Arabidopsis thaliana: one gene and its partners. The protein of the gene in region 2 purifies or fractionates together with the protein of the main gene of each other region. This does not show direct contact. Each region holds a gene or a part of one and is shown on either strand. Other genes may lie near its edges. The genes, in order: IMPA-8, AT5G53480, IMPA-5 and AT1G32880.

Region 1 (7,130 bases), 590 kb from region 2:
GAAGCAACCGGATCAGGGTGGGGATGAGAAGGTATTGGAACCGGTTCAACCCGGCAAAGAGGAAGAATTAGAAGAAGTGTCGTGTAACTCGTGTTCGTTGGAGTTTATGGATGAGGAAGCGATGTTGAATATGCCGACTTTGTTGACGGAGATGGCTGAAGGGATGTTGATGAGTCCACCGAGAATGATGATACATCCGACGATGGAAGATGATTCGCCGGAGAATCATGAAGGAGATAATCTTTGGAGTTATAAATGAATCCATTGAAGCTGCTCTCTTTTTTATTGTTTTCCGGTCGAATGAGATTTTCCCCCTTTTTTTTTTTCTTTTTGGGTCGCTGTTATGGAAAGTCAAATAGGTTATTAATATGATATATTAATATTTTTGAAACATAATGAGTTTGAATTTGAATTTTTCCATTTTTATATAAATATGGTTTATATGAGGGAAAAATAGATACATATCGAAGATATAAGAATTGTTTTTCTGCTTTATTTTTGGTCAACTGATTATGGTGCTTCTAGAAAAAGAACAATCTTTTTAAGAACAAATATAAGAAGTATCTAGAAGCAAAATAATTTGTTTGTGGAAAGGCCTCCAATTTTATATAACTTAAAATCTGAAGATACAACACAGTCTAATGGTTTGTGTTTTCTGACCCCAAAAAAAACAACAGCTTCTCATGGGAAAAAATGGTAGGAAACTTTTTTTTTTTGTCAACGGCAAACTTAAATTTTAGAAAGATAAACTACGATATAATAACTTCCAAGAGAAGATTTTTTGGAACTTAACCATCAGACCACACACACACATCTTTATCATCCTATGAATATCCAACGAATACTACTACATAGAGAAGAATGAACATGTTACATTTATATCATGTTTGACTAGAAACAAAACAACATAGATCATTTTTCTTGTTAACCTTTGTATAGGTTTTCAATGGCTTCCGCTTCTCTCTGATTCTTTTTTACCATATATACTACTAGATCTACTGTCTTAGGATTCTCTAACCTTTAGGAGTTCAAAATTTATCTCATGAGCTTGAAAGATGTCAATTACTTCTCCAAACTCGACGTTATATGTGTCAAGTACTACATTCATGTCATGACAACCTTTTGTGCATAAAGATACCTCAAAAGCTTTTTTACCAGTTTCGTGTCCTTATATTTTTTTTTGCATACCTCACATTTTATATGGTTTTAATCACTCATCTTTTTATATATTCTCACCCATCCTTATAATTTCAAATTGAAATACCATCATGTCCAATATATTCTCACCCATCCTTATGCATTGTGTCTCATGTGTCTTTAGCATATTTCATATCCCTGGATCAACTTGAGTTAGTGAAACAGTTAGAAAGTAAAAAACAAAGGTAAAGTCTCTCTCGTCAAGACCCTCCGAGTGTACAAGAGGCTCTCAAACAACAAAAGCAAAAGGATAAACTTTTGTTAGCTCAGACTATCCACATAGCCGTCGTCTTCCTCGCCGGACATGCTAGAAGATAACAATCCACACCCAAACTTACCCAGAGAGACAATCTCTGATTCACGTCCACTACAATTACCGAATCTCTCCGAAGCCACCGATCACCTACGCTAGTTTCAGTGGCAATTCGAAGCTTCCAATGAGTTTGTTCTGTAATTCAATCGAAACCCTTTATCCAAAACCATTCCTTTCACACAAATCTCACTTCTTTACCTTCTCCAATTCCAAATTCCAAAACCCTAAATTCACAAGCTTCCCACTTCGTCACCAATGGCGGATCGAATCATGTCTGAAATCAGCATCTTCATCAGAAATCGATATGGTAAGAAACAAAGAAGGTATCTTTGCACCAAAGGAGAAGAAAGTTGTAGTCTTATGGGACTTAGACAACAAACCACCACGAGGTCCACCATACGAAGCCGCAACAGCTCTCCGTAAAGTCGCTGAGAAACTCGGCCGAGTCGTCGAAATCTCCGCTTACGCAAATCGTCATGCTTTTATCCATTTACCTCATTGGGTCGTCGAAGAGAGACGAGAAAGGAGGAACCTTGATTTCATGGAGAGGAAAGGAGAAGTGACTCCAATTGATCCGTACATTTGTGGTGTTTGTGGTCGCAAGTGTAAAACCAATCTTGATTTGAAGAAACATTTCAAGCAGCTTCATGAGAGGGAGAGACAGAAGAAAGTTAATAGGATGAGATCTTTGAAAGGTAAGAAACGTCAGAAGTTTAAGGAGCGTTATGTTTCAGGGAATGAGAAGTATAATGAGGCTGCGAGGAGTTTGTTGACTCCTAAAGTTGGATATGGTTTAGAGGCTGAGCTACGTCGAGCAGGGGTTTATGTTAAGACGGTTGAGGATAAGCCTCAGGCTGCGGATTGGGCGGTTAAGAGACAGATACAACATTCAATGACTAGAGGGATTGATTGGTTGGTTTTGGTGTCGGATGATAAGGATTTTTCTGATATGTTGAGGAAAGCTAGAGAGGCTGATCTTGGGACTTTGGTTGTTAGTGATATGGATAGAGCATTGGGAAGGCATGCTGATTTGTGGGTGCCTTGGAGTGGTGTTGAGAAGGGAGAGATTGGTGAGAAGGATTTGATTCCGGGGAAGAGACCAAGGTTTGAGGAGGATGAGGTGGGATTTGGTGGTAATGATGAGTTGTTTTCGTTGTCGTATGATGAGGATGAGAAGGCGGAGATGACGGTGGAGAGTGATGGGTTTGGGAGGTTTAATGTATCGGCGTTTTCGGAAGATGAATGGGTGGAGGATGAAGGAGACTTTGTGTTGAGTGATAGTAGTGATGATGATAGTGATGATGAGCTTTTCTGATTCATGGTGAATTGAGTTGCATTTCTAAGTGTTGTTAATTGGTTTACGAATAGAGTTCATAGGAGCTTTGGTCGATGTAATTGAAATCAAATGTAAAACCATTCTTACATAAGCCAAGATTTTGTGCATTCATGTGGTCAAAGGCTTTGAGAATTCAAGTTCTTACATAAACCAAGATTTTGTGGTATTGTGGTTTGTCGAATTGAAATTTTGGGTTGGAGTAAACCGGATTCAAATCAAATTTTTATTTTGATCGGTTTAGAGTAGACGGTTAAGTAGCGACTGGATTTTTTGATCAGACGGTTAAAATAAAATCAAGAAAGAAACGATAACTGAAAAACCCGTTTTTTTACGCTTCGTTAAAATTCTGCTTCACCATTTTTGTTTGCATTCTTGCTTGATTGCAAAATCTTTGCCTCTCTCACATTTCAAGTTGAGATTTCTAGGGTTTAGTCTTTAAGTTTTCTAAATTGCTTTGGAGAGGTCGAAAAGAAGAGAGAAAAGCCATGGCTTGGAAAACAGAGGTCCGTTTAAAACTATCTCACAAGTAATCACTCTCTGGTTGATTTTGTGTTGGACTAGTGAGGTTTTTAGGGTTTGGATTGTAGGTGAACGAAGTTTCAGATGATATAATCGATGGTCTTTGGTCAGATGATCCTCCATTACAACTTGAATCCGTTACCAAGATCAGACGTATTACATCACAGAGTAAAAACTTCCTCTGTTTTTTACTTTCTTTACTTTTTCTTGATCTCGGTTTGAAAGATTCGTCTTTTATCATTTACTCTAATATCTTTCCAGGAGATATATCTTGTGTGATACGATCTGGAGTTGTACCGCGTCTCGTTCAGTTGCTTAAAAATCAAGTTTTCCCCAAGCTTCAAGTTAGTTGATATTTTATGATGATGATCAGTGTAACCTTTGATTACGATATATTCAGTGATCTTTGTTTTTATAGTATGAGGTAGCTTGGGCTCTAACAAACATTGCTGTTGACAATCCGGGCGTGGTAGTTAATAACAACGCTGTTCCAGTATTAATTCAGCTTATTGCTTCTCCTAAAGATTATGTTCGTGAGCAGGTAAGTATTTTACTACGTGTAGATATGAGAATACTTGTCACAGACTCACAGATATGAGTTTTGACATTATTCTTGCAGGCTATATGGACACTGAGTAATGTTGCTGGTCATTCGATACATTACCGTGACTTTGTTCTTAACTCTGGGGTATTGATGCCACTGTTGCGTCTTCTGTATAAGGATACTACACTCAGAATTGCTACTTGGGCTTTGCGTAACTTGTGTCGTGGCAAGCCTCACCCGGCTTTCGATCAGGTCTTCTTACTTCTCTCTCTGTCTCTGTTTCCTCTGTTTTGTATACTTTTTAACATATGAAGCATGATTCAACAGGTGAAACCTGCTCTTCCTGCGCTTGAAATACTTCTTCATTCACATGATGAAGATGTCTTGAAAAATGCTTGCATGGCACTATGTCATCTGTCTGAGGGTTCAGAAGATGGAATCCAAAGTGTGATTGAGGCTGGTTTTGTCCCAAAACTAGTTCAAATTCTCCAGTTAGTACTTCTCAGAATATGTATTTAACCCTTTTGTGACATGTTTGGATAAGGAAAGGCTGACAGTTTTTTTTCTTTTGCAGACTCCCTTCTCCAGTGGTGCTTGTTCCTGCACTTCTTACCATTGGGGCTATGACTGCTGGAAATCATCAGCAGACACAGGTATGTATTTCATATTCAACTTACGTTGTCCACCTTTTGGATTTTGTAACCAAACAACAAAATGCTTTGTTATACACCTCTTTGAACTTATTCTTCAGTGTGTGATCAATAGTGGTGCTTTACCCATTATTTCCAACATGCTTACTCGAAACCACGAGAACAAAATAAAGAAGTGTGCTTGCTGGGTGATTTCAAACATCACTGCAGGGACTAAAGAACAAATTCAGGTGAGAAACTTTTGTTGCTATTATCCCCAATGAAAATTTACCATTTTTGTCTTTTGCTATCACTAATTTGTTTTTCTTTTTCCCCTGGTGATTACAGTCAGTTATTGATGCAAATTTGATTCCAATCTTGGTCAATCTTGCTCAAGATACTGACTTCTACATGAAGAAAGAAGCTGTATGGGCAATTTCAAATATGGCCTTAAATGGTTCTCATGATCAAATCAAGTAACGTCCCTGTCTTGTTTCTTTTTTCAACTTTAATGTACTTATTATAGATCATCAAGTCTCACAATTCTCCATTGGTGTGATTCAGATACATGGCGGAGCAGAGTTGCATAAAACAATTATGTGATATCCTAGTATATTCAGATGAAAGAACCACCATCTTAAAGTGTCTGGATGGATTGGAAAACATGTTGAAGGCCGGAGAGGCTGAAAAGAACAGTGAAGACGTGAACCCTTATTGTCTACTGATTGAAGATGCGGAAGGGCTAGAAAAGATTTCGAAGCTGCAAATGAACAAAAACGATGATATCTACGAGAAGGCTTATAAGATTCTGGTGACGAATTGGTTTGAAGAGGATGATGAGAACAACAACAACAACGTCCGATGTGATGATGTGGACTTTCAGGTGTGAGAGAACCAAAGTTCCAGTTCCTTATATGGAAGATCCCAACACAATTATTTGTTATAGTGAAAAAAAAACATCTTACATGGGACCAAAGGCTTTGCACCTTTGTTGTCTCAGGGCTTTACTTGGTCTTTAATTGAATGTACAAAGTTGATGTAAAAGCTTTGGCTCCATCGTTCATGGAGTCTAGTACATTGTTTTGGGTTTTAAAAGTTTTCTGTGTTAAAGCTCGTCGTCTAATTGATGTTGTGTTTGGTTTTAGTTGAAAGGTTTAGACGTTTAGTAAAAAAGTTACTCAAATTCTTGAAATCTCCTTGGCCTTGCTGATTATAAAATCAAATATTCATTTATAAAATTATGCGAAAGGGTCTAATTATTTTTGAAACCGAATCGAATGAAGACAACTCCATTTTGATTGATTTTTTTTTTGTTGTATTAAAGAATAAAAAACTCGACTGGTTCAACAAGACTGGATTGTCTTTAAACTACTGGTTCAATGTATTTTGGGTACATAATGAAAAAAATACACAATCCGCCTTGGCCACGTATCCATCTTTGGCTTAGTTGATGATGATAATACTTTTGTTTTTTGGTAAGGCTGATGATGATAATAGTTAGAAGAAGTTCATAGAATAATCCAATGGATTTCCAATAATAAAACACAGAAATAAATATAATCCAAACAATTGCCAAAAATAATGAATAAGAAAAGGGACCCACACCAAAAGCTAAAAGCGCGTGGGTCAGATTACAAAAAGCGAAACCCCAAACCGTGGCTAGACAGCGGACGAACCCGTCCCTTCAAACGTGGCTCACCTTTCGAACCACAGAGAGCAGTTTACACTCCAACTGTCAAAAACGTGTTCCCATGACGTCATCCTCAACGTATCTTTATCACTTTTTAAAACTAAAGACTGTTTTGTCTTTTTCTAAATCGTCCCCTTTCTCCGAACACCATACTTAAATTCAATAAAATAATAAATATCAAAACTGAACCATCGAATCGGAACCAGCCACAGTACACAATACACTTAGACGAAGTAAAGTGATTCAGAAGGACACGTGTAAGTCACATACCGTGGGACACTTGTCGTTACCAGATCCTCCGTGTTTCTCACTTTTCTTATAAAATAAAAACACAACACTTCTTCACTTTCTGTAATAAAAATATCTCCAAAAGTTCCAACACCTGAAAACATAAAAAGATAGAAAGAGAAATAAAACATCTTATCCAAAGAAAAAATGAATCCATTTTACTCTACATTCCCAGACTCGTTTCTCTCAATCTCCGATCATAGATCTCCGGTTTCAGACAGTAGTGAGTGTTCACCAAAGTTAGCTTCAAGTTGTCCAAAGAAACGAGCTGGGAGGAAGAAGTTTCGTGAGACACGTCATCCGATTTACAGAGGAGTTCGTCAGAGGAATTCTGGTAAATGGGTTTGTGAAGTTAGAGAGCCTAATAAGAAATCTAGGATTTGGTTAGGTACTTTTCCGACGGTTGAAATGGCTGCTCGTGCTCATGATGTTGCTGCTTTAGCTCTTCGTGGTCGCTCTGCTTGTCTCAATTTCGCTGATTCTGCTTGGCGGCTTCGTATTCCTGAGACTACTTGTCCTAAGGAGATTCAGAAAGCTGCGTCTGAAGCTGCAATGGCGTTTCAGAATGAGACTACGACGGAGGGATCTAAAACTGCGGCGGAGGCAGAGGAGGC
Region 2 (9,398 bases):
AATATGATAAAAACTAATATAGACTACACGTACATTAAACCAGCTAAACTGCTTAAGTAGAATCGTTGTACTATCTAAAACATTATTCACTTAACAGTTAACACATGTACGTGCAGCTCTTCTGTCCGAAGACTATGCATGACTTCACAAAAAAAAAAAAAAAAAAGGGAAAGTTCGTGAGTAGGGAAATAATCAATGTGTCGGCAATTATATGTTGCGTTTAAAAGGAGTGATGAATAAGAAACCAATGAGCCACTAAATTAGCAATGTTTTATTGGGCAACAACGTACGTGTCTTAAGTCTTAACTTCTGTTGTCCAATGTCAACTACACAGAAAGACGACGAAACGTACATCTATTAGTCTTTGACAAAAAAAAAACGTACGTCTATTAGTTAAAAAAAAAAGAGAACAAAAACACAATTTCAATACTAACATAGTTTACAACGCGAATAATAAATCACGAGACACCCACAACTAATAATTTCACTACTTTTCTTAAATATTTCCTTCGTTTTAAATTTTTAATATACAATTCATCTCATAAGTGTAGTTTTTTTTTCTGTAGAAGACGGGAGACTAAAAATTATAAGAAAAATTACAAACTTACTTGCCTTAGGCGCACATACCCAATAACATCATCGCTTAAGAGCGTATCAACATTAGAAGGAACAACATCAAAAAATGAAAGCCATCAGGCAATGAGAACGCATAGTTAGATCTATAAATGTAGTTTGAACCAAAGTTCTAGTTTTTATCCATTAAATTAGCTTATATATTAGGTTTTCGTTGTCCTACTAAACGAATTAATTTTCTTAAAAAACATCCGTTTTTTTTTTTTTTTCAGAGTTTTCTTTAATGGCGTTCATCTTCTAAGAAAGTATTTACTAATCATTATTATTTTTAAAAATGTATTGATCCGTAACCTTAAGGTAAAATGTGTTAGATAATAGCTATTGAAAGAAAAATTGGAGTTATTTTTTGTCGCAAGAAGTTCATGCTTTAATCAATAATTATGTTTCTTTTGACTAATAACTTGGATCGTAAGATTTTCTCCTTTTTTTGGCAGTTTCAGCTGACGACGCTCATATATCTTTCGGTGCTATTTCAGTATTGCATTTAAAGACTAAAGGTAAAGTTTAAAGTCGCAAAATAAAGTATTAACGCCGTAATGAAATTATTTGAATATGAAAAAAATCGTCGCGGACGACAAAAATGTTTTTTTTTTTTGTGTGTGTATCAGTGTATGTGATATATGTGGGTGTGCTTGGACAAGTCCTTTGACAATAAAAAAGGCCCACTTCGTATTACCACCATTCTTTTTCAACTCCCAATTTCAATTCAGAGTGGCGTGTCCTATTTCTCTTGGATGTTTAGCCATCATCTATCTTTTATGTGTTTTATTGTCCATTTGAGTGAGATTTAAATGGGTATGTCATCACAATGAAAAAAAAAAAAATACCAACAGAACCAACGTTTCTCTCGCCTAAATCATCAATTCGAAAAAGATATGTCGAATGAATTATGACATTATATATTTAGTTCAAGAGAAAAATTCTCGAGACGTCAGAAACATGGTTTGGGACTAATACATAGAACCGAGAGAAACTAATTTAAACCATAACTTGAATGGTCTAGAATGTTTCAAATACACATGAAAACATTTTTCAAAATATAGGTTCGGTATCAGTTGCATTTGGCGTTTGGAAAACCAAAAAAAAGCAACACATACAATCAAAATTGAGGTTTCCATAAACAGCGTGAATGTGAAATGTTCTTCGATCTCTTAACTTGACTCTTTGGAAGCAGAGTAAGGCAGGACGTTTTCTCCTATTAACATGTGCCCTTTCCCATATAGTTCGAGCCAAATCAAATAATGGATTCTAAACGATTGTAAACAGTTCCATAGTAAAATGAATAGATGTGGACCTCTTTAAGACCCTAAGACATGACACCATATAATAAAAATGTTCCTGTATGTGACATTTGAAACTTGATTGCAAACAAAACACAAGTATATATGCAAAACCCCCTAAACTGCATCATAGCAAAGAGAAGATAGACAGACATGTGAAACTTCTTTATATAAAAATAAAAATGTGAATAATGCTTTTAATCAAACATACAAACCCCCCCAAAAGACAAAATGATGATGCAAAGACTGCAACTAACCAAATAATAAAAGAAAACAAAAGAAAAAATCAAGGGATTGTCCTCTAATAATGCCCCCACTTGATAAAAACCTGAGACCTCTCCCTCCTCAAGGGGTTGAAGAACATATGAGAGAAAAGAAAAAACAAGAATGTATTATGAGATGTTCCATGAAACCTTTTTTTTTTTGGTATAACTTTGTCCCAAAACCCACCAGAAAACGACCATGACTCACTTCCTCCTCTTTCTACTCCCGGGGATTTAACCTTACCCGGGAAACTTTCACCCGTGACTCTTCCAGTTTCATTATTTACCCCAAAACTCATCATTCCCCACATCCACGACTCAACGATTCCCTGACTGACCCCAGTTATGCTGATGATGCAAATGAAACTGATGCTGATGATGCTGATGTGACTCGGATGTTGCAGCTCTACCCCTCCCCCCGACCGACTCAACCCACCCAGAGATGCATGCAGACTTTACTAAAAAGCAAAAGGAATTTTCTTTCTTATAGGCAAAAGAAGAGCCTTCAAACAGATATGGCACGGGTTATGGCATGCTTCGCCCATTCGGCTGCTTCTTTAATTGTGTGGTCTTCAGAAGACAAACATTCGTTTAAGAACTCTTTACTTGACACTGACTGTTGTATCAAACCACCCACATGACTCCCTAGTGTATCTGCTAAATCTCCTAAGACCCCAATCGCTGTCTTCATCACCACCTCGTCCCTGTCCCAAGGCAATTTTACCACAAAATTAAACAACTGCTATGACATAATAGAAATTCAGTTGGGTCGTAACCAAACTTACATGTCTTTCTCCATGTATATACTGTCCAAAAACTGGAGGATATGGGGTGCGAAAGGAATCAGGAGCTGGGTTTTGGCGGAGTTCTTGAAACCTTGAAATATGCCTGAATAAGCCTCAAGGATTCCGTTTCTCAATGAGTTTGTGTACTCCGTCATTTCATCATCAGCTCCAGCCGAGTGAGCAGATAACTCTGCGGCACTCTGAAGCATCGGCATTGAATACCTCCAGTACTTATCAAAATCCTCACCGATAGCAAGTGCTATGTCACCAAAACAGGAGAATATCGGTGGCTTCACTGATCGGTGCAATTGGTTGCTCGACAAATCTTTCAGAAGCTGTGTCATAATCCCATCGCAATAAGGTAAAATCTTGTCCTCCAATGCTCTGCAGACATCCCCAACAACACCAACAGTAACAGCACACACTTGGTATTCTTCAAAGTTTTGAAGACCCATCTCCAAGTACTTATAAAACTCAGGCATGTATTTGGCAAAATTGGGACCTGCTGCATAAGCAAGAGCACCAATGGCAAGCATGGCTTCCTCATGTGCAGTTGCACTTCTACAACCAAACACCCTCAGGAAAAGTCCCATCATTTGGTCTGCATACTCCATGAACTTAGACTTGGTTGGTTCAGATCCTAATTTCTGTATGATGACCTGCAAGCATCCACATAGAAGTCCCTGCAACTCGTTTTGTTTCTCCCTCTCATCCAATGAAAGCTTTTCCCCTTCCAAAGTATTGTGAAGCTCCATCATTATCACTGGTACTAATTGCAGAACCATGGTAGACGTTTCATCAGTTGAACACCTGACAACTTCATTCAATGCCTCATATGCTGCAGTCCGCAAGCGTGATTCAGTTGCATCCTCTCTGTGTGCAACAGCTAAAAGTGACTTAATAATTTCCTGGAAGAAGGGTGTTAACGGAGAACTGGGACCGATATCCTCATAGCCTTGAGCAAGGAAGTACAGAGCCCCACAAGCCTTCTCGGCAACATTAGGCGCATCATTCATGCTCTGGATGAGTACTGTGATTATCTGCTGGCAGTTTGCCTGATTAATAATAGGTGTCTCGATTGTTGAACCATGAAGGAACTCAAATATCCGACCAAGGGTCCATGCGGTTGTGTCTTTCACATGGTTGCTTGGGTCATTTGTTAGAGCATTGAGCATAAATGTTAACGCTGCGTTAACAATTGCCATCAACTTATCGGCAGAAGGGCCTTCCAAAATGGAACCAAAAGCATAAGTTGCAGCTTCTCGCTCTCTCCAATCAGGCTTTGATATTTTCTCTTCAATAAACGGCATGACATGTGGAACAATGTCATCTCCAACTGCCCTAGCAACCAAACCGAGGCATGTCCCACCTGCCATTGCAATATTCCAAGCCCCTTCATCCAAATCTTGATCTTCTTCTTGCTTCAGAAGAGTCTCCAGCAGTAGAGGCACAAGACCAGGGAGAGCCTGCTTAGTAAAATAAAAGCATGGAACATCAGAATCCCCAGCGAACTCACCACCATATTCTTCTAAGATGTCAATCTCTTCGTCACAAATAGAACTCCAGAACTCAATTGCCTGTAGAGCAACAGACTCGTCATCTTCTCTTACAGCCTTAGCTGTGATGTTGAATATATCTTGCATGTAATGCGCCAACTTCTCATAGTATGTGGAAGCGATAGATACCAAACACTCAAAAGCTGCCTGCCTAATTTTCACCTCAGGGGACAGGGTTGCTTCACACACAACTCTCATGATATAATCACGCTCCATGTCGTTGTTGAAATTTGCTTGGGCGAATCCGAGAGCCATGTATAAAGCACGGGTTGCAGCAAGTCTAACATCAGTATTACCTTCAGCAGCATTCATACCCTGAACAACAGCTGTGAGTATCTTATTTACATGCTCCTGTTCAACAACATCAGGTGACACTTCTTCACATAGGTATCCAAGAGTCTCCAAAGTGGCTTGCTTGACATGAGCAGGTAACTGGTGAATATTTGAGAGAAGAGACACTATGAGCTCAGGCCACTGCTTCTGTGGTAACTCAATACCTGCAACCTTAGCAATGACCTGAGATGCAGTCGAACGAACATCAGGCACAGGTGCCGACAGTGTCTTCAACAAGAAAGCTCTGATCTGCGACTTTGTTGACATGTCTAGAGCCAACCATCTCTGAACAAGCTCATACTTCCTGTGTTGTTCCTTAGCATCAAGAGCATTTTTAAGGACTAAACCAGCTAATTTCCTGCTATCTACTGGCTTCTCATCATTCGCAAGCTCTCCAGCAAGCGACAACAAGAAACCCGCAAGGTTTTGCTCCTGAAACTGCTTAAGACTTTCTTCCGCGTGCTTACGTACAGTTCCATCAATCGACTGAGCATTAATGAGCAACTGCGTAACCTCCATTGCCATAGGTTTATCTGCAACAGAAACAAACAGATTCAGCAAAACTGAAAATAAAGAAGAAGTAAGACAGAATCAGTAAATTAAGCCAACAACATGAAGAAACTCGTCAACGATCCAAAAAGCCATAAAGGTGAAAGACTACTAAATCACTATGAATCGAAAAAACCATGTAATAGCAATAAGAGATCAAAGCACGAGCCATTGACGCTTAAAAACACTGTCAGATTCAACTATAACAGCCAGAACAACAGATCCGAGCACGAAATCGAATATAAAACACGAAATCAAACTAGTTACTAAGATGACCAAATCAACAAGTTAATAGAACAAATGAATCTAACTAAAAAATCGAAAAGCAAATCTCAGATTACGAACGAGTTCAAATCATAAAACAGTGAACAAATCGAAACTAAAGTTGGAAATGGATGATTGAACGAATCGAGATCGAATCAGGAAAAAAAAAAAGCGAATTGGGAAGTGATGAATCTGAAGATGGATCTTAGGGAGAAAGTTGAATAGATGAAGTGAAGAAGGGTAACCTAGAATCTCGGCGGCGGCCGATCGGATAAAGCGGAAATCGGGGACTGGAGAGGACAAACCCTAGAAGCCCAGAAGGAAGAGAGAGAGAGAGAGAGAAGAAAAAAATCAGTTCCAGCGAAAAAGGGAAGAGAGAGAGAGAAGAGAAGAGAAGAATCGGATGTGAAGATGGACTTTAAATTTTATTATTAAACTTTTAACCAAATATTTATATAAACAAATAAAAAAACTGTTTTGAACACAAATTATGTAAATCTATTAATTTTGAAATTGTTTTCCAAACTTATATATATTTGTACTCAATTGTATATTTAGGTTTTGTTCAGTGTATCCTAATATTTTTATAAAAACTATATATAGGAAAATATCTTTTAAAATTACCCAATTAAAAAAAAGTTGTATAAATCTTCTAAATATGAAAATTTGTTTCCAATCATAATTGTTTGTTCAGTGTATCTTATTTTTTTCAAATAAAAACATAAATAGAAAAAAATCTGAATTACCCAATATATATATAAAAAGGGAAAATATTTTTCTTTATGATTTTTGCACACTAAAAATATATTTCTGATTAAAGAATTGATATAATCTGGAGTGATTATGTCGTACATCGCGTGTTGGGTGGTCCTTATCTGAACCCCACCTTATATATTCTCATCGTTAATTAATCAACGGTCCGGATTGTTTTACAGCGAGATGCGAAGAAGAAGATTTTTTTTCTTTTCTTATTCCGAAGGTACAATTTGTATCATATTTAAAATACTTATAAATTTTACAAGTAATCAACAAAATTGTTTTACAGGTATGATAATAATGATTCAGATGGCTGAAAAAACATGAAAGGGTCACGAACGAAAGAGAGAAACATTATACTAACAAAAAAAAAACTATTATTGAGTTATGATGATTGATGATGATGATCTCTCTGGGTTCAATATAGTAACCAATAAAAACTAGAGCTACTATATCATATGTAACTTGTGTTGTTGTATGTTAAAACATAAGCTTAAGAGGAAGCAAAGAGGCTCAGAGGAAATGTAAGAAAAACACAAGCATCTAGCTTTGACACACAATTTTAAAGACTTAAAAAACACTAATTGGAATCCTTCTTCTCTCGCATCCAAGACCATTCTGATTCACAGAGATCAAGAGGCGAGTTTCCGTCTTCGTCTTTAATGGTTGTATCAGCTTTCTGCTTCACCAGAAACTCGGCGAGTGCTTCTCTTTCGCACACAACAGCATAGTGTAGAGAGGTTTGGCCTTCATTGTCCTGCACAAAGTTTGTCAGCGACAAAAACATAAAAGTCTGTAATTGAGAGAAAGAATTAGTTTAGGGGGTTTTGGTTATTTATTTACTTTAGCATTCACATCTGCGTTCTTATCAACCAGAGCTTCAGCAACGTTAAGATGGCCACGGTCTATAGCCCAATGCAGTGGTGTTCGACCTTCACTATCTGACATTTCCAAGATGGAGAAACTGTTAAGTTTCCAAACCAGATCCGAACATTCTGTGAAAATGATACAAGACTACTAACCTCTTGCATTTACGGGTATGCCATTTTCTATGCATTTCAATAGATTCTCGACTTCTCCTTCTCTAGCAAAGGCGTGTATGGCGTCAATCTTCCTGGAACATGGAGTAAGAACGCAAGAATGAACAGAGCTTCTACTATGATTTAAACTAACACATGATTCTTTGATCTACCTAAGGTGAGTATTATGATATATACATTCCTTCTCTGATCTAGTCAGCTAGTCATATAGAGAAACTGAGAAAAGAAAACCAAAAGTTCATAGATGAATCTGTAACTAATTGCTTAGGAACCTTACAACTCATTGTCAGATTCCTCTTCGTACACCAATGAGCTAAAAACCGGTCCCATGGGGCCTGCAGCCTCACCACTCCGATTTCTTCGTTTCTAATAGTCCGCAACGAAGCAAACAAGCCAAGAAATAAAGACAGATTTAAGAACGAAAACAGACCATCCATAAACAGTCCAAAGAAATGGGAATAACAGAAGCAGGTAAGAAGACAACTAACCGAGCCACCTTCAACCCAAGCTGGGTAAAGCTGAGTAACAAGGTCGATATACTTCTCCATCGCTTCCTCAGGAGGCATAGCACCCAATTTCTGCCATGCTTGCCTAGAACAAAAAAGATCATAACAAATCTCAGTCGATCAAAATGCATCCCTAAGTTACCAATCAACAAAACAACAAAAGCAAATCCTTTCGGTACTCACACAAAGCAAGATACATCCAGGATGAAGAATAATCAGTACATCACAAGTAAACATGATTAAGTAACAATCTTCACAGTCATAAGATTTGAATCAGATCACTAATCAATACACCAACAAAAGCAATCCTTTCCATACATTAGCAATGAAAGATACGAACTTGGTGAAATCAAAATAATATACATCCATGATCAAGAAACATCAGTACATCACAAGTAAACATGATCAAGCAATCATCTTTCACAGTCCCAAACATTTGAATCAGAGAATCAATAAGAGTGTTAGACAAACCACTTGGCACGAGCAGTCATTTTAAGAGCTGATGGTTGAGGAGCAGTACAAGGTCCTTCAGTAGCAATTTTATACAATCCATAAAGCTGAAGTTGCAACTCATTAGAAACTTTCTGCGAAAGCCTATCCGATGCAGCAGCAGCAACAAAAGCCGTAGCAGCACTAAATGCCTCATCAAGTTCTGTACTTTCGACACCTTCCCAATCATCATCATCTGATTCATCTTCATCACCTCTCAAGCTACCTTGCTCAGCTATAAGAGAATCAGTCTCGCCGCTAATCCCAGTTAAAGTTTCGACCTTTCGCAAGTTCTCATACTCCGATTGAGTCGTGTGGTTACGAGTGAGTGAGAGATTCTCGTCTTTAAAAGCGAGGAGGATAGAGATTAGCTTAGCGAGAAGGTAAGCGAAGATCAAACCAAAGATTATAGACTGTGCAAGCTGATACCAATCAGCCATTTCCCCCAAATCGAATAAGAAAGTAAACCCAATAGAGATTCAAACACAACGAACTCGAAATCTGAGAAAATGAACCCTAAATTTCAAAGAAGGGTCACAATAACGCATCTCCAGAAACAAAAAGGAGCCACCTTTTTGGAACTCTTGTTTTCACCGCTTCACAATTTTCTTTTTCTTTACTTTTTTTTTGTTTTCTCTTTGTGGGCTTGTCTTTTGTTGAAGACCAGAGACAACTGAGGAATTACACGTAGGATTGAATGGTTGCGACGAGAGACAACTGACGAATCCGTTTGTTAATTGGACCGCTTTTCATCTACCAACTGGTTGGGACCGAGAAAAAATGAAGAAATTTGTTGGAGACAAACTACATACCGGTTTTACATACCTCAATCTTCACTGTGTAATTGAAGATCATTTTTTTCACTATTTTACTGAGCAAGTCTTATGATTCCTAACATTGTTTACAGTTTACACCACCATAAATAATATGAAAGAACACAAAGA
Region 3 (7,734 bases), 1.7 Mb from region 2:
TCGTATTAGATCTTTTGTACCAAGAGGCAAGTTTCTTTGCATTCCTGGACAGATATAAGAGCACAAAACTTAAAGAAATGTTAAAAGATGAAATCTTTCAGATCGAAACAGAGGAAGTTTTATTTACCATCTGATAGAATCCTGTTGATCTTGATAGCTGAATCAAGCTGTATCAAAGGATCTTTTGAATAAAGGCCATTGGCTAAACTCATAGCTGCTGAAACTTTGTGTGAGATCGTTTAGAGGAAGCTTGGGTCTTAAGCAACGTGGGTTTTCTCTCTTCTTTGACCTATCCAGAGAAATTTGCAAAACTTGAAGAGAAATCTGAGCTGAAATGTGAAAGAGGCAAAGAAATTTTGCAATTCAGTGCAAGAATGCAAACAAGAATGGAGCGAAAATAACAGATGAATTTACTACGACAATATCGTTATCAGAACCGGCTTGTTTGGTTTGATTTAATTTCGACTGAAACCGGTTCAGTTCAACCAAATTGATTCAGTTTGGTTTTGGGTTTAAATCCGGTTTAATAAAACCCAAATTTCAACATGTTAGGCGTGTTGGTTAGGATCATCGGATCATTGCCAATCTCGAATTACCCCCCAAATCGGAGTGAAATTAGGGTTTATATGTCTAATCACCTTAGCACCACCATGACGAAGACCACGATCAGCACAATTCTTCTTGTGGTTTCTCTGTTCGATCATAACTTGAGCTCTTGCTTTCATGGTTTCTGAATTGACCAAGAAGATCTGAAACAAACACAGAAGCAGATCATCATCATTTCCAACAGTTCATCTTCGATCACCCGAATCAGAATCAGATCATTTTATCTTCTCACTGTGGTCTAGCATTCTCTATTTTCAATCCAGATGAATTGTTTAGGGTTTTTGATCGAAGCTTAAGAAAAAATAGCAGAGACGAGAATGAAGAAGAGTTAACAACGAGCGAAGAAATAATAAAGCATCTCTGCACCTTCTTACTTGAGCTTGTTATCGAATTCATCTAAATTCTCAAAGTGGCGACCAAATTCGATGATTCAATTTCTCCATGGAAACGAAACACAAAGTGGTTTCGGAATATATGGGCCTTTTACGTTATACCAAAGCCCATAGCATAAGAGCCCATCCATTTCGAAAGAAAAAAAAAAAAACAAATCCGTCCCGCGTCAAAAAAACTGAATCCATCTTTAAAGTTTGACCGTTAGTTCGGTAAACAAATAATTTAACCCTTTCTTAATTTTGACCGTTAGTTCGGTAAATTTGAGTAAAATTTTTTCCTAAAAGACAAAACAATGTGGATTCCAACAGGAAGTGGAACTTGGTTCTCTAACAGGAAGTGGAACTTGATTCCAATATGATGAGTAGCTGTTAGAGAACCAAGTTCCACTTCCTGTTGGAATCCACATTGTTTTGTCTTTTAGGACCATCATATTATGTGCATGCTTTTGGTTCAATATGACAGCTATTTCTTTACATCAAAATCTAATATCAGATTATGTGGGATCTTAACGAGAAAAATCAAACTGGAATTCCGGATGAGAACAACCATCACCACCTTCATCTTCCTCTTCAACTAACCTTCCATCTTCCTCTACAAGCCCGTATGTTTGCAGAATCTTCACAGCCTTCTCGTAGATCTCATTGTTGCCATGGTGCTGCAAGTTCTCAATCTTTTCTAGCCCTTCTGCATCTTCAATCATTTGAGAGTAACAGTTCACGTCTCTTAGGTTCTTGTCCACCTCTCCAGCAATCAAAATCATTTCCAGTCCACCTAGAGACACTAAGATGATTCTTAGATCTGGACAAACCAGGATGTCACATAAAGCTTTTATGCAATTCTGCTCCACCAAGTATCTGATACACACCAATGGATATTGTGAATATAGATGATCAATAAGCATGAAAAAAGTGATAAAGAAAGAAGACAGGGATGTACTTGATTTGATTAGGAGAACCACCCACGGAAGCATTTGAAATTGCCCATATAGCTTCTTTCTTTATGTCAAATTCAGCATGTTGTGCCAGATTGACCAACGATGGAATCAAATTTGCATCAATAACCGACTGTTATCATCATCAATGCAAGAAAGACAAATAGAAAATATTTAGTGATAGCAACGTAAATTGTTCAAGTTCTGCAACAGTAACAATCACAAACTCATGCTCACCTGAATTTGTTCTTCTAAACCGGCAGTGATGTTTGAAATCGTCCAGCAAGCTTCCCTCCTTATGCCTCTCATATGGTTTTGAGTAAGCAGGTCAGCAAGAACGGGTAAAACACCACAATTGATCACACACTGAAAAATAAGTTCAAAGAGTTATTTGGTTACAAAATCTAATCTCAACACAGTACTCAAGCAACATATAAATGAAGTGTTCTCCAGGATATAATCATCCAAGATACAGGATTACAAATTAAGCTTTTGATAGTGCTATTGCTTTGAAAAACAATAAATTCACACGGTGTACAAGAGACGTGTTCTTGAAGGCTCCATCAAAGGAATATGAATTACATACGTGAGTCTGCTGACTATTTCCAGAAACTATATTCCCAATGCAACGAAGTGCAGGAACAAGTACAACTGGAGAAGCGTGTCTGCAAAAGAAAAAAATGGCGAGCCTTCATTATCCAAACATGTATCAAACGGTTAAATTTTTTAATATTTGGAGAGAAGTACTAACTGGAGAAGTTCAACTAGTCTTGGGACAACACCCGCCTCGATCACACTTTGGATATTTTCATTTGAAGCATCAGACAGATTCGAAAGCGCCCAGCAAGCATCTATCAAGACTTGTTCATCATCCGAATAAACAAGTCTTTTAAGTACAGGGAGAACATGTTTCACCTATAAATCATGTTTCATAAGTTTAAGTATTGCACCTATAAAACTGAGGAAATAGAGAAGTAAGAATACCAGGTCAAAGGGTGGTGAAGGCTTGCCACGGAAGAAGTTTGATAAAGTCCAAGTCGCATTTCTAAGTATCGACAATGTAGCATGGTTATTCAGCTGATGCAACAGTGGAATAAATGCCCCAGAGTTAAGAACAAAGTCACGGCACTGTATTGAATCACCAGCAACATTACCCAGTCCCCATATAGCCTGCAAATTAAGTGTAACATCAAACTCTTCAAAATTTGAACTCACATATTTAACCATTCATACTCAGAAGAAGCACTATACCTGCTCACGGACATCATCATCAGGGGAAGCAAGAAGCTGAACAAAGAGTGGCACAACACCGTGATCAATCACTACCTTGGTATGCTCAGATGCGCCAGAAGCAATGTTTGTTAAAGCCCAAGCAGCCTCAAACTATAAAAAAGATCAAAGAATTCAGAACCAAAGATTACACTAATCATCAAAGATGGGAACTTTAAGTCTAACCTGAAGCTTAGGGTTATCATCCTTCTTAAGAAACTCTACAAAACGTGGCACAACTCCAGATTTTATCACATTATCAGTAGGTGGACTTCTATCTGAACAATATATAAAACCACAAGACTTTAAGAAACCATTCAAGTAAATATAAGTTCGTATCTTTTTCAACTCAAGATCAAAGAAAAGTAAAGAGTTTTACCGAATGATAGAACCACCCTGAACCGAGTTGTGTACTCAAGCTGCAATGAAGGATCATCCGAGAAAACCCCAGTGATCATATTCGCTATCTCCAACTACAACCATCACCAGAGAGGATCTAATTTAATTACCCAATTCGAAAGCATTCGAGTATAATGATAAAGGTCGTATCTTTCAAAACCTAGGTTTCACTAATCCAAAACCAAAGATCAAACTTTTACCAAACTCTCAAAGGGGTCGTTGGAAATCAACTTGTAATCAGGAGGCAAAACTTTTACACGACGTTTCTTCATCAAATTTTCGTTGCGTTTACTCTTGCGAATCTCGACTAAAAAGTCTTCTCTTCTTCTGCGTCCTTCTTCCGCATCTACAGAGACTTTGTAACGGATTCGACGGATCTCTGTCTTCGTGCTCGGTCGCAAGGACATAGCTTTCTCGATTCTTCGACCTCTCTAAATCAATTCACAAAATCGAAGCGAAACCCTAGAAATTTGAACTGAATGGGATTTGCAAAGTGAAGAAGAGAATGCAAGAGTGGTGAAGATGAAGAAGAAGCGACAACAGTTTCAATTTGAAGAAGCGGGAGGGTTTTCTAATTATCGTTTTTAATTGTTAACCGTATTTATACAGTAGATTGAATCATAAATCATTGATAATCTAAATTTAAGATAAAGTTTACAATCATATTATTAAGAGCTCCAAATTGAAATAATTAGTCAATAATTATTATAAGCTAAAATACTTGAATCTAAACCGAACTAAACCGTGAAGTTGGTTTAGTTACTCGTTACCGACGATAAAAAGAACCATATTTGCAGAGTTTACTCGTTAGATGTGTAGTGTTTTCTCCGGCGAAGGAAAACCTACTTTTCCGGTAAAGTTCATGTATTGATTGGAAAAAGTAGGTTTTGGTTTGTGATTTTGAATTGCTTATGTAAGAAGTAAAAACATTGTTTTTTCTCATATGATTATGTTAACTACTATACATTGTACACTATACTATATGTGCAAGTTGCTTTAAAGAAACAAGATATTCCAAAGACGTCGATTCATCTCTAACAGTAGCAAGACCTTCTCGAGCAACCGTAGCCATCCGATTTGTAGGCGATCTTGGAGGAGATGCATAAAGAACTGATGCCTCGATGATCTCTCTATGTGTGTTTTCAAGATCCTTAGAGATTCGATGTGCTTGAAGAGCGGTTAGGTAAAGTCCCGTGGCTAGAAAGACGGTTATAAGTGAGAACACTCCGGCCGCTGAAAACAAGCCTTGCCGGATTACTAGACAACTAGGTTTTGGTTTAGACCAGTTCTTTAGATGTCCTGATTCCACACTAAGTGCAACCAACAGTAGAACCTCTCCAACACCAAAGCAAACCCTTATAGGAACAAAAAAGAATAATATAATCACAAAATTATCATTAACTTAAGCTATGGTCAGTAACATAAATATGTCATTTCACGATTGCTTATAGTTAGGATTTTTTTATTTTTATTTTATTTTTTATAACTACATGACATTAATTCGTTGCGTTAGAATAAGTCTACGTACCATGTTGAGACGAAGAAGAAGGCAGCTTGAAAAGTGAGCCTCTTCGCAGGAACAGAGTCAGGATCCCACTCAACCAGAACCAGAGACGGCGATGTGGTGACTGCGATAAGTAAGTACATGTGGAAGCCCACCATCGCCACCGCTAGTCCCACAAACGCAATCGCACCACACAACAACGGCGTTTTCCCGCTACCATTATACACGCATGTTTTGCTTCCCCATGTCGCCTATTGCAAATGATTGACAACATATTAATGGCAATGATATAACTTATACTAAATACTATTATAATCGAACGATATGGTAATTAATATAAAACATGAATCAATATAGATTTCTGATTTATTTTGAAAATATAAATGATGAAAACATATGAGAGAAAGTTTATATACATCCCTGTATAGTAATGTACCTGAGATCTTGTGGCTTCGGCATAGAGGCAGAGAACAAAGCAGGAGAGGCCAAAGATTATTGTCAAAACAGCGATGAAAATACCGGTTTTGCTGCTGAGATCTGTGGTTTTAGGGTTTGGAACAAGATCTTGATGGGTCACAGCTCGCACTCTTGTTCTCGACATGTCTCTCGTCAATTTCTAATAGATAGGAATCGAAGTTACATGTTTTGAGAGTTATTATACTTTGATTTGTTTTACATATATGAGAGGCATTGAAAGTGGGAAGAAAAGAATAAACTGGAGTATATTTGATAAATAAATGAAAAAGGAGAGGAGGATAGAAGAATTGCTTCAGCCAAAGGTTGCTTAAAGGCCAAGATTCGCAGGTTCTCTTTCGGATGTCTTTTTAGAAATACTATACTGTTTTCGTATAGTGTCTATTAAACGATGATGTGTAAAATATATAATGTGACGAGAGTTCGTTAATGGAGTTAGTTGGATGATTCTTTTCATATATTACACGTGTATAAGAACATTCTTTTCTTCTTTTTATTTTGTGTTCATACAAAGAACATCGTACCTTTTATTATCTTGAAAGTAAATAAAGATAAAGATAAAAAGATAAGGTGATGAACTTTGTTCGTGAGTCGTGAGTGACTGAGTGTTGTCTTATTTCTATATACTATTTATTAGCATAATCATGTGAGGGCGTGTAATTTTTAATAGGAAGCCAAAAGCCTTCCACACCCCACCATAAATAACCAATAGAGAAGCGGTTTCTGATACTCCATTTCAAAAGCAAAGACATATAGTGACAGAAAAAACGAGCTCGTGTCACTGATATCTTTAGCTTCGAATTGGATCAACACTACTTGTCAAGTTGTCATCACCTTAATGTTAGTGTCTCGCCGATGTTGTGTTTGCCGTTGTGATAGTATATATTTTTATTGTTGCCGACACTGGTCGCATCGGTTTTGAAAAGAACATGGTTGTGTATTAAGTACTCATCACTCATGTGGTATTTTCATGACAAAGTTTGTGATGTCGTCACTCGTCGTAAGAATTTTGAATTTAATGTACCTAAATTGTGCTATATGAGTTATGAAAGTTGAGGTTACCATCGCCAAAGCTCGAAATTATGATGTGAAAATATTGGGTTTAAAATTTTACTTATACTCAAAGTCCATGGTATAAGCACCTTAAGGCATATATAGATTAGGATCTTTGACAAAAAAAAAAAAAAAAAAAAAAAAAAAGCCATGAACTAGGATCCAAAATTTGTATGGACATTGAAATTTTGATTTTTTAAAACAAAATTGATATATATAAAAAAAAATTAAATAGAGTAAAAACTGTTGATCTCCCCCAATAGATTTGCATTAGTTAGTTTTTTTTATTTTGAACTTTTAACTCCTACCAGATTATTAAAGTAGTATTTTATTTAGATAATTTTTTATAGTTATGATATATGTTTTTTGGTTGTTTATGATTTATTTATGATATATGAGTTTCAATAACTTTTTTTTTAATCAAAGTTTCAATAACATTAAAAAGAGGGGAAACGTTATAACATGAATAGAGCCTTCAATAACGTTGGATCGTCCATGGTGCTATTGAAGTTCTTTGGTCCGAATATCTATATATATTTTTTTTCTTAGAGACAATTCTCGAGGATGACAGAAAAAAAAAAGAAAAAAGAAAAAAAAAAAAAATCTCTCGGATCCATCACGCAAGTATCAAAGTGAATCTATAAAATAGGTTTATCTTTATATATTTCATTCTGTCTATTTTTGTTCCTATTTATTCATATTTATATTTTTAATGATATTTTTTTTTCTTCTTTAACTCGTTAAATCTAATATATAAAGCCTCTAAAAAAAATAGTTTCTTCAAAAAAAAAAGGGAAAGCAAAAAGAATTGAAAAATATGATCAAAAAGTTCTAGAATTTTTTTGCATTATTAATAAACTTTTAATTTTCTCTCTTTATTCGAACTTTGTGAAAAATAACCAAACATTAGCATTATATTTCATTGACTGGTCTCTGGACCATAAATAAGGTTGAGAGTTCAAACTATTATTTGGACGAAACCAATATTAGGGCATCTCCATCAGTGAGATACCTTCTTGGTTTATCAAAAAAAAAAAAAGTTGTATTTTAATAAATATTAGTTATATAATTAAATTTTAACAATAAAATAATATTTGACCAATAG
Region 4 (5,843 bases), on a different chromosome or scaffold from region 2:
ACGGTGAGCTATTGTTCGATAACTGATATGGCTTCGCAGGGTCCACTTTTTACGTGGTGTAACAAGCGAGAAAATGATCTCATAATGAAAAAACTGGACCGGGTGTTAATAAATGACGTTTGGCTGCAAACTTTCCCGCAATCCTATTCTACATTTGAGGCTGGAGGTTGTTCGGATCACTTGCGCGGACGAATAAACTTAAGAAGAGAAAAAGGGAGTCAGGCGAAAGGTCGAAAACCTTTCAAGTTCGTTAATGTCCTTGCAGAATTACATGAGTTCCAGCCAATGATAGATAACTATTGGAAGAATACTGAGTCGTTATTCTTGTCTACATCCACTCTTTTCCGGTTCAACAAGAAGCTAAAGGGTCTTAAGCCTGCGTTAAAGTTGCTCGCAAAAGACAGAATTGGTAACCTAGTGAAGAAATCAAAAGAAGCATATGAAGTTTTGTGTAAGAAACAAGAGGCAAACTTATCAAAACCCTTCATTGCAGAATATGGAAGCAGAGAATGCGGCTTATAACCGATGGGAGTTTGTGTCAGATCTAGAAGAAAAATATCTAAAACAAAAATCAAAGTTGCATTGGATGAAAGTGGGTGATAAGAACAACAAGACTTTTCATCGAGTTGTGGTAGCTAGGGAGACAAATGAATCAGATCAAGGAAATTCAATGTGCAGATGGTAGCATTGTAAAGGGTGATGAGATAAAAGTGGAGGCTGAGAGATTCTTTAGAGAATTTCTGCATTTTATCCCAGAGGACTATGCAGGCTGCGATGTTAGTGAGCTTCAGAACTTGCTACCTTTTCGTTGTTCTGAATCTGATCAAGAGCTGCTTACTCGTGAGGTGTCTGCGGAGGAGATACAGAGGGTTCTGTTTTCAATGCCGAAGGACAAATCTCCGGGACCAGATGGTTATACCACAGAGTTCTATAAGGCAACATGGGCTACCATAGGACTTGAATTCATTTTGGCAGTTCAATCTTTTTTTCTAAAAGGTTTCCTTCCAAAAGGAATAAACTCAACTATTTTAGCTCTGATTCCAAAGAAGCTAGAAGCTAAGGAAATGAAGGATTATAGACCTATTTCATGCTGCAACGTAATCTATAAGGTAATTTCTAAGATCATTGCTAACAGATTGAAAGTGCTTCTGCCAGAGTTTGTTGCGGGAAATCAGTCGGCGTTTGTAAAAGACAGATTACTCATCGAAAATCTGTTACTTGCTACGGAACTAGTCAAGGACTATTATAAAGATTAAGTCTCTACCCGTTGTGCTATTAAAATAGATATCTCGAAGGCGTTTGACTCGGTCCAATTGGCTTTTCTGCTGAATGTTTTATTGGCTATGAATTTTCCTGCGGTTTTTATACATTGGTTAAAACTGTGTATTACTACGGCCTCTTTTTCAGTCCAAGTAAATGGCGATCTCGCTGGTTATTTCCAAAGTGCAAGGGGTTTACGTCAGGGTTGCTCTCTCTCGCCATATCTGTTTGTCATAAGCATGGATGTCCTCTCAAAGATGTTGGATAAGGCTGCCGGAGCTCACAAGTTTGGTTTCCATCCTCATTGTCAACGTTTAAAGCTCACTCATCTAAGTTTTGCAGATGATTTGATGGTTCTAACGGATGGTAAGGTTAGATCCATATAGGGTATAGTGAAGGTTTTTGATGAGTTTTATAAGTACTCTGGGTTAAAAATAAGTATGGAGAAGTCGACAATGTATATGGCAGGAGTATCACCTTTAGTGAAAGCAGAGATTGCAGCTCTTTTCCCTTTTGATATAGGTCAATTGCCAGTTCGATACTTAGGTTTGCCTCTTGTTACTAAGAGACTCATGGCTGAGGATTATGATCCTCTTCTTGAGCAGATTAGGAAACGCATCGCGTCGTGGACTTCACGCTACCTCTCATATGCAGGTAGCTCAACTTGATTCAATCTATCCTCTGGAGTATTTGCAATTTCTGGCTAGGCGCTTTTCGTTTACCGAGACAGTGTATCCGAGAGATTGACAAGATTTGCTCCGCTTACCTATGGTCGGGTTTAGAACTGAGTTCAAAGAAGGCAAAGATATCGTGGGAAAAAGTTTGTAAGCCGAAAATAGAGGGGGGTTTGGGTTTGCGAAGCTTGACAAAAGCTAATGATGTTTGTTGTTTAAAGTTGGTCTGGCGAATCATTTCTAATAGCAAGTCTTTATGGGTTCAATGGGTCACCACATACCTTCTTAGGAGGAAGCATTTTTGGACATTGAAGCAGAATACAAATGCAGGCTCTTGGATTTGGAGAAAAATACTAAAGTACAGAGACAAGGCGAAATAATGTGTACAATGCATCATTCTCTACCAAAGAAACGTGGCACCATATCAGAGCTCCTTCTCCCACAGTCCCCTGGTACAACGGGGGTTGGTTCAATCACGCCACACCAAAGTTTTCGTTTTGTACTTGGCTCGCGGTCCAAGATAGGCTCTCAACAGGGGAGCATATGGTTAAATGGAACAGAGGAGAATCGGGTCTCTGTGTGTTTTGTACTAACACTATGGAAACTCGTGATCATTTGTTTTTCTCCTGCAACTATGTCTCGACAATTTGGGGTGACGTAGCTAAGAAGCTATGGAAGACCAGATTCACAAAGGAATGGCCACAAATTCTGGCCTATGTTTCAGACAAGTCATTACAGCGAGTCGATGGTTTCTTAATCCGGTATGTCTTTCAAGCTACAATACACACAGTTTGGAGAGAGAGGAATGGGCGTCGTCATGGAGAAACACCGAACACCACGTCACACTTGATAACTTGGATAGATAAGCAGGTGATCGAAGATATGACAAGGGCAACGTACAGCTCACTCTAAACATTCTCTAAACACCTTTAATTTCTAACTATTTTTTTTCTCAGCTTTTCTCATTTTGCTAAACGTTGCACGAGTTGTAAAAACGTTTTGTTTTTTTTTGAATATAATTTAACATTTTTTCAAAAAAAAAAGAAGAGTAAATCAAATCTCTCTTTTACTCTTTTTCTTGATCGATTTGAAAGATTCTTCATTCACTCGAATGTTTCTTATATTACATGTGCAGAAGATATGCGTAATGTTTCTTATATTACATGTGCAGAAGATATGCGTGGTCCTATCGAAACAGTGATACGATCTGGAGCTGTACATCGTCTCATTCAGTTTCTTCTCGATGAAAGTTTCCCTAAGCTTCAAGTTAGAAGAAAAATTTCCCCCATCAAGTTGATGTTTTTATTGATGATCAGTGTAATCTTTGATTCTGATATATATACAATGATTCAGGTGCACAACATAAAACAATTTGTCTATTTGCTATCTCACTAAACTAAACTGTTTTCCCCTGGTGATAACAGTCAGTAATCGATGCAAATTTGATTCCAACCTTGGTCAAACTGACTCAGAATGCTGAATTTGACATGAAGAAAGAATCTGTATGCGCAATTTCAAATGCGACCTTACTTGGTTCTCATGATCAAATCAAGTACGTCCCTGTCTTATTTCTTTCTTTTTGCACTTTCAACTTAACATGCTTATAGATGATCATCAAAGTCACAATCTCCATTTATTGGTGTGATTCAGATACATGGTGGAGCAGAGCTGCATCAAACCTTTATGTGATATCCTGTTTTGTCCAGATGTAAAAACCATCTTAAAGTGTCTGGATGGAATGGAAAACACATTGAAGGTTGGAGAGGCTGAAAAGAACGCAGGAGACGACGTGAGCTGGTATACTCGACTGATCGAAGCGGAAGGGCTAGATAAGATTTTGAACCTGCAAAGACACGAAAACATCGAGATCTACGACAAGGCTTTGAAGATTCTGCAGACTTACTGGCTTGAAGAGGATGATGAGGATATACAACAACCTCCAAGTTAATAATCTAGTTAAGTAACATCATTTGTTCAAATATCCTAAAAGATAAGAAAATTCTTTTGCTTATTTCTATTGGTACTTTTTTAACAATACCAGAGAAAACTTCCAAGCATAAACTGTGATACTAAACAGCTTCTGAATCTAATAATCCAAGAGAATAATTACAATGACTTGACTCTCTAATGGTTCACACAAAACCAAGCCTTTATGTCTCTTAACCTCTTGGATTTTTCGGTTCTCACCATAACAAAGGCCTCCCTGAACCTCCCATTGTTCCTATGATCACCCAAAACAAAGCACATAAAGCCCCAATGATCGATAAGCAAAAGAAACCTTTGTTCTTCTTCTTCTTCTTATCGTTGTTTCCTCCAGACTTGTTCCTCTTCACTGCTGAGTCACTATCCATAACAACAACATTATTACCTGTGCTTTTAGAAGTAAACCTGAAACGACCACCACTGGTTGACATTCTAACAAGGTTCAGCTTCACAAATGGATTCTCTGATGCATATGCTGGCTTTGCAGGAATGGATTCCAGGAAAGTCCATACACTAGAAGCAAACTTACTAGACTCGTCTTTTGACGGGTCATCTTCATTAGTTGTACTTATACCAGAAGGAACAGGGTTTAGGAATTCAGATGAATCACCTGTCAAGGGAATATGATTAGGATAAGAAGCCAGTCGCTTTCCTCACAATTAGATAGAATATTTAGTATGCGAGTGAAAAGAGGTATCTACAGGAAAATCTGTTAGTGCTTTCAAGTACCTGTACCAGGCGCCTCACCAAACCGGGTAACGGTAAGTCCGTCATTGTTTAGCTCCTGCACCCACGATGATCCATTGTTTATCTGTCTGGTATAGCTGTTACGGAGTGGCCAGTTACTAGCTTGGTTCTTCCCTGATTGCTGCTGGAACTGGTTATTATTGGCCTGGTAAGTCATTAAAGAAGTATTCACCTGAAGACTTTGTGCAAACCCATTTTTCAAATCACCACTAACAAAATCTAACTGAGGATTTGTCACTCCCAAATCAAGGAAATATGAATCAGCACCAACGAAATCATCATCATTCAGGAGACCAGAACCATCCTCGTTCCAGTTATTCTCCATGACTTCCACAGAAGTTGGTTCAGGTTCAGGTTCCATAAGATCATTGATTTCCAAATACATATCTTCCTCCAGGTTCTCCAGATTATACGTGTCTACATGAGAGTTCAGTCCAGACACCCCATTCTGCTGCAATGTTGGACCAGACTGATCTCTAACCTGACTCATCAGCTCTTCAATATCATTATCATCCAATTCAGATTGGTTAAGCCCTTTCCCCCATAAACTATTATCAACACTAGCCGAAACAACGAGCTGATTAGCAGGCTCATCAACATCATCATCATCATCTTCAGCCCATTCTTCTTCAATAAAAGGAGCTCCATATTGCTCACCATTCTTAGGACCAGACCCACTTTTCTTATAAATCTTGTAAAGAACATAAGCATCCTTAACATCTTCACCACCACACCTCTTGAGCTCCTCTTTGTGCAATGTATACTCATGCATCACCCAATTAGTCCGTTCGCCATTAGGTGCCCTGCCTCTATGGAAAACAAGAGTCTTCTTCTCTCCAACGGGTCTCGAATCACAATGAATGACTCTATCCTTCCCTGTTGCTTTCCAATAGCCACGTTCAGTAGCTCTACTTGACCTACTTCCATGTTTCCTATCCCTTAAGCTGAAAAAGAACCATTGACGATCTCTAGTCTTATACAACGCTTTCTCTACACAAAAAAAAAGAGTCCATTTTTAAAGTCAGAAGCTAAAAAAAAAAAAACCTTTAGAGTGTAAATCAATCAACCATACATACATATGTAACAATCATGCTTGTTCAAATTGAGCAATCTATGAATGAAACAGATAAAAATCGAAACTTGAAAACAGAGCAAAACATTCCAATTTTGAGGTAAACG

Evidence for each region.
Region 1: the proteins of AT5G53480 (region 2) and IMPA-8 fractionate together in Arabidopsis thaliana (co-fractionation; one large-scale study listed by BioGRID). This does not show direct contact.
Region 3: the proteins of AT5G53480 (region 2) and IMPA-5 fractionate together in Arabidopsis thaliana (co-fractionation; one large-scale study listed by BioGRID). This does not show direct contact.
Region 4: the proteins of AT5G53480 (region 2) and AT1G32880 fractionate together in Arabidopsis thaliana (co-fractionation; one large-scale study listed by BioGRID). This does not show direct contact.

Annotation. Positions count from the first base shown.
Region 1 is NC_003076.8:21,117,321-21,124,450, reverse strand, and holds IMPA-8 (importin alpha), read left to right. Parts: upstream 1-3,331; coding exon 3,332-3,349; intron 3,350-3,433; coding exon 3,434-3,533; intron 3,534-3,626; coding exon 3,627-3,709; intron 3,710-3,783; coding exon 3,784-3,906; intron 3,907-3,984; coding exon 3,985-4,161; intron 4,162-4,236; coding exon 4,237-4,400; intron 4,401-4,483; coding exon 4,484-4,562; intron 4,563-4,660; coding exon 4,661-4,789; intron 4,790-4,886; coding exon 4,887-5,014; intron 5,015-5,102; coding exon 5,103-5,427; 3' UTR 5,428-5,505; downstream 5,506-7,130. Other genes in the region: AT5G52020 (Integrase-type DNA-binding superfamily protein), read left to right, coding at 1-259; AT5G52010 (C2H2-like zinc finger protein), read left to right, coding at 1,635-2,825; CBF4 (C-repeat-binding factor 4), read left to right, coding at 6,664-7,130.
Region 2 is NC_003076.8:21,709,993-21,719,390, reverse strand, and holds AT5G53480 (ARM repeat superfamily protein), read right to left. Parts: upstream 6,147-9,398; 5' UTR 5,909-6,146; intron 5,384-5,908; 5' UTR 5,376-5,383; coding exon 2,962-5,375; intron 2,881-2,961; coding exon 2,682-2,880; 3' UTR 1,513-2,681; downstream 1-1,512. Other genes in the region: ACBP1 (acyl-CoA binding protein 1), read right to left, coding at 7,000-7,176, 7,263-7,360, 7,442-7,533, 7,737-7,825, 7,948-8,050, 8,437-8,894. UniProt on the Arabidopsis thaliana protein: Acts as a negative effector of drought tolerance. Involved in the regulation of stomatal closure and in the abscisic acid (ABA)-mediated pathway that lead to drought tolerance.
Region 3 is NC_003076.8:19,990,512-19,998,245, forward strand, and holds IMPA-5 (importin alpha), read right to left. Parts: upstream 4,162-7,734; 5' UTR 4,006-4,161; coding exon 3,799-4,005; intron 3,673-3,798; coding exon 3,579-3,672; intron 3,478-3,578; coding exon 3,386-3,477; intron 3,314-3,385; coding exon 3,182-3,313; intron 3,101-3,181; coding exon 2,915-3,100; intron 2,846-2,914; coding exon 2,682-2,845; intron 2,596-2,681; coding exon 2,517-2,595; intron 2,297-2,516; coding exon 2,168-2,296; intron 2,064-2,167; coding exon 1,936-2,063; intron 1,854-1,935; coding exon 1,505-1,853; 3' UTR 1,435-1,504; downstream 1-1,434. Other genes in the region: AT5G49305 (importin subunit alpha), read right to left, coding at 1-44, 128-212; AT5G49320 (transmembrane protein, putative (DUF1218)), read right to left, coding at 4,572-4,953, 5,127-5,353, 5,539-5,703. UniProt on the Arabidopsis thaliana protein: Binds to conventional NLS motifs and mediates nuclear protein import across the nuclear envelope.
Region 4 is NC_003070.9:11,911,967-11,917,809, reverse strand, and holds AT1G32880 (ARM repeat superfamily protein), read left to right. Parts: upstream 1-3,074; coding exon 3,075-3,200; intron 3,201-3,358; coding exon 3,359-3,486; intron 3,487-3,584; coding exon 3,585-3,882; downstream 3,883-5,843. Other genes in the region: NAC13 (NAC domain protein 13), read right to left, coding at 4,118-4,527, 4,647-5,654.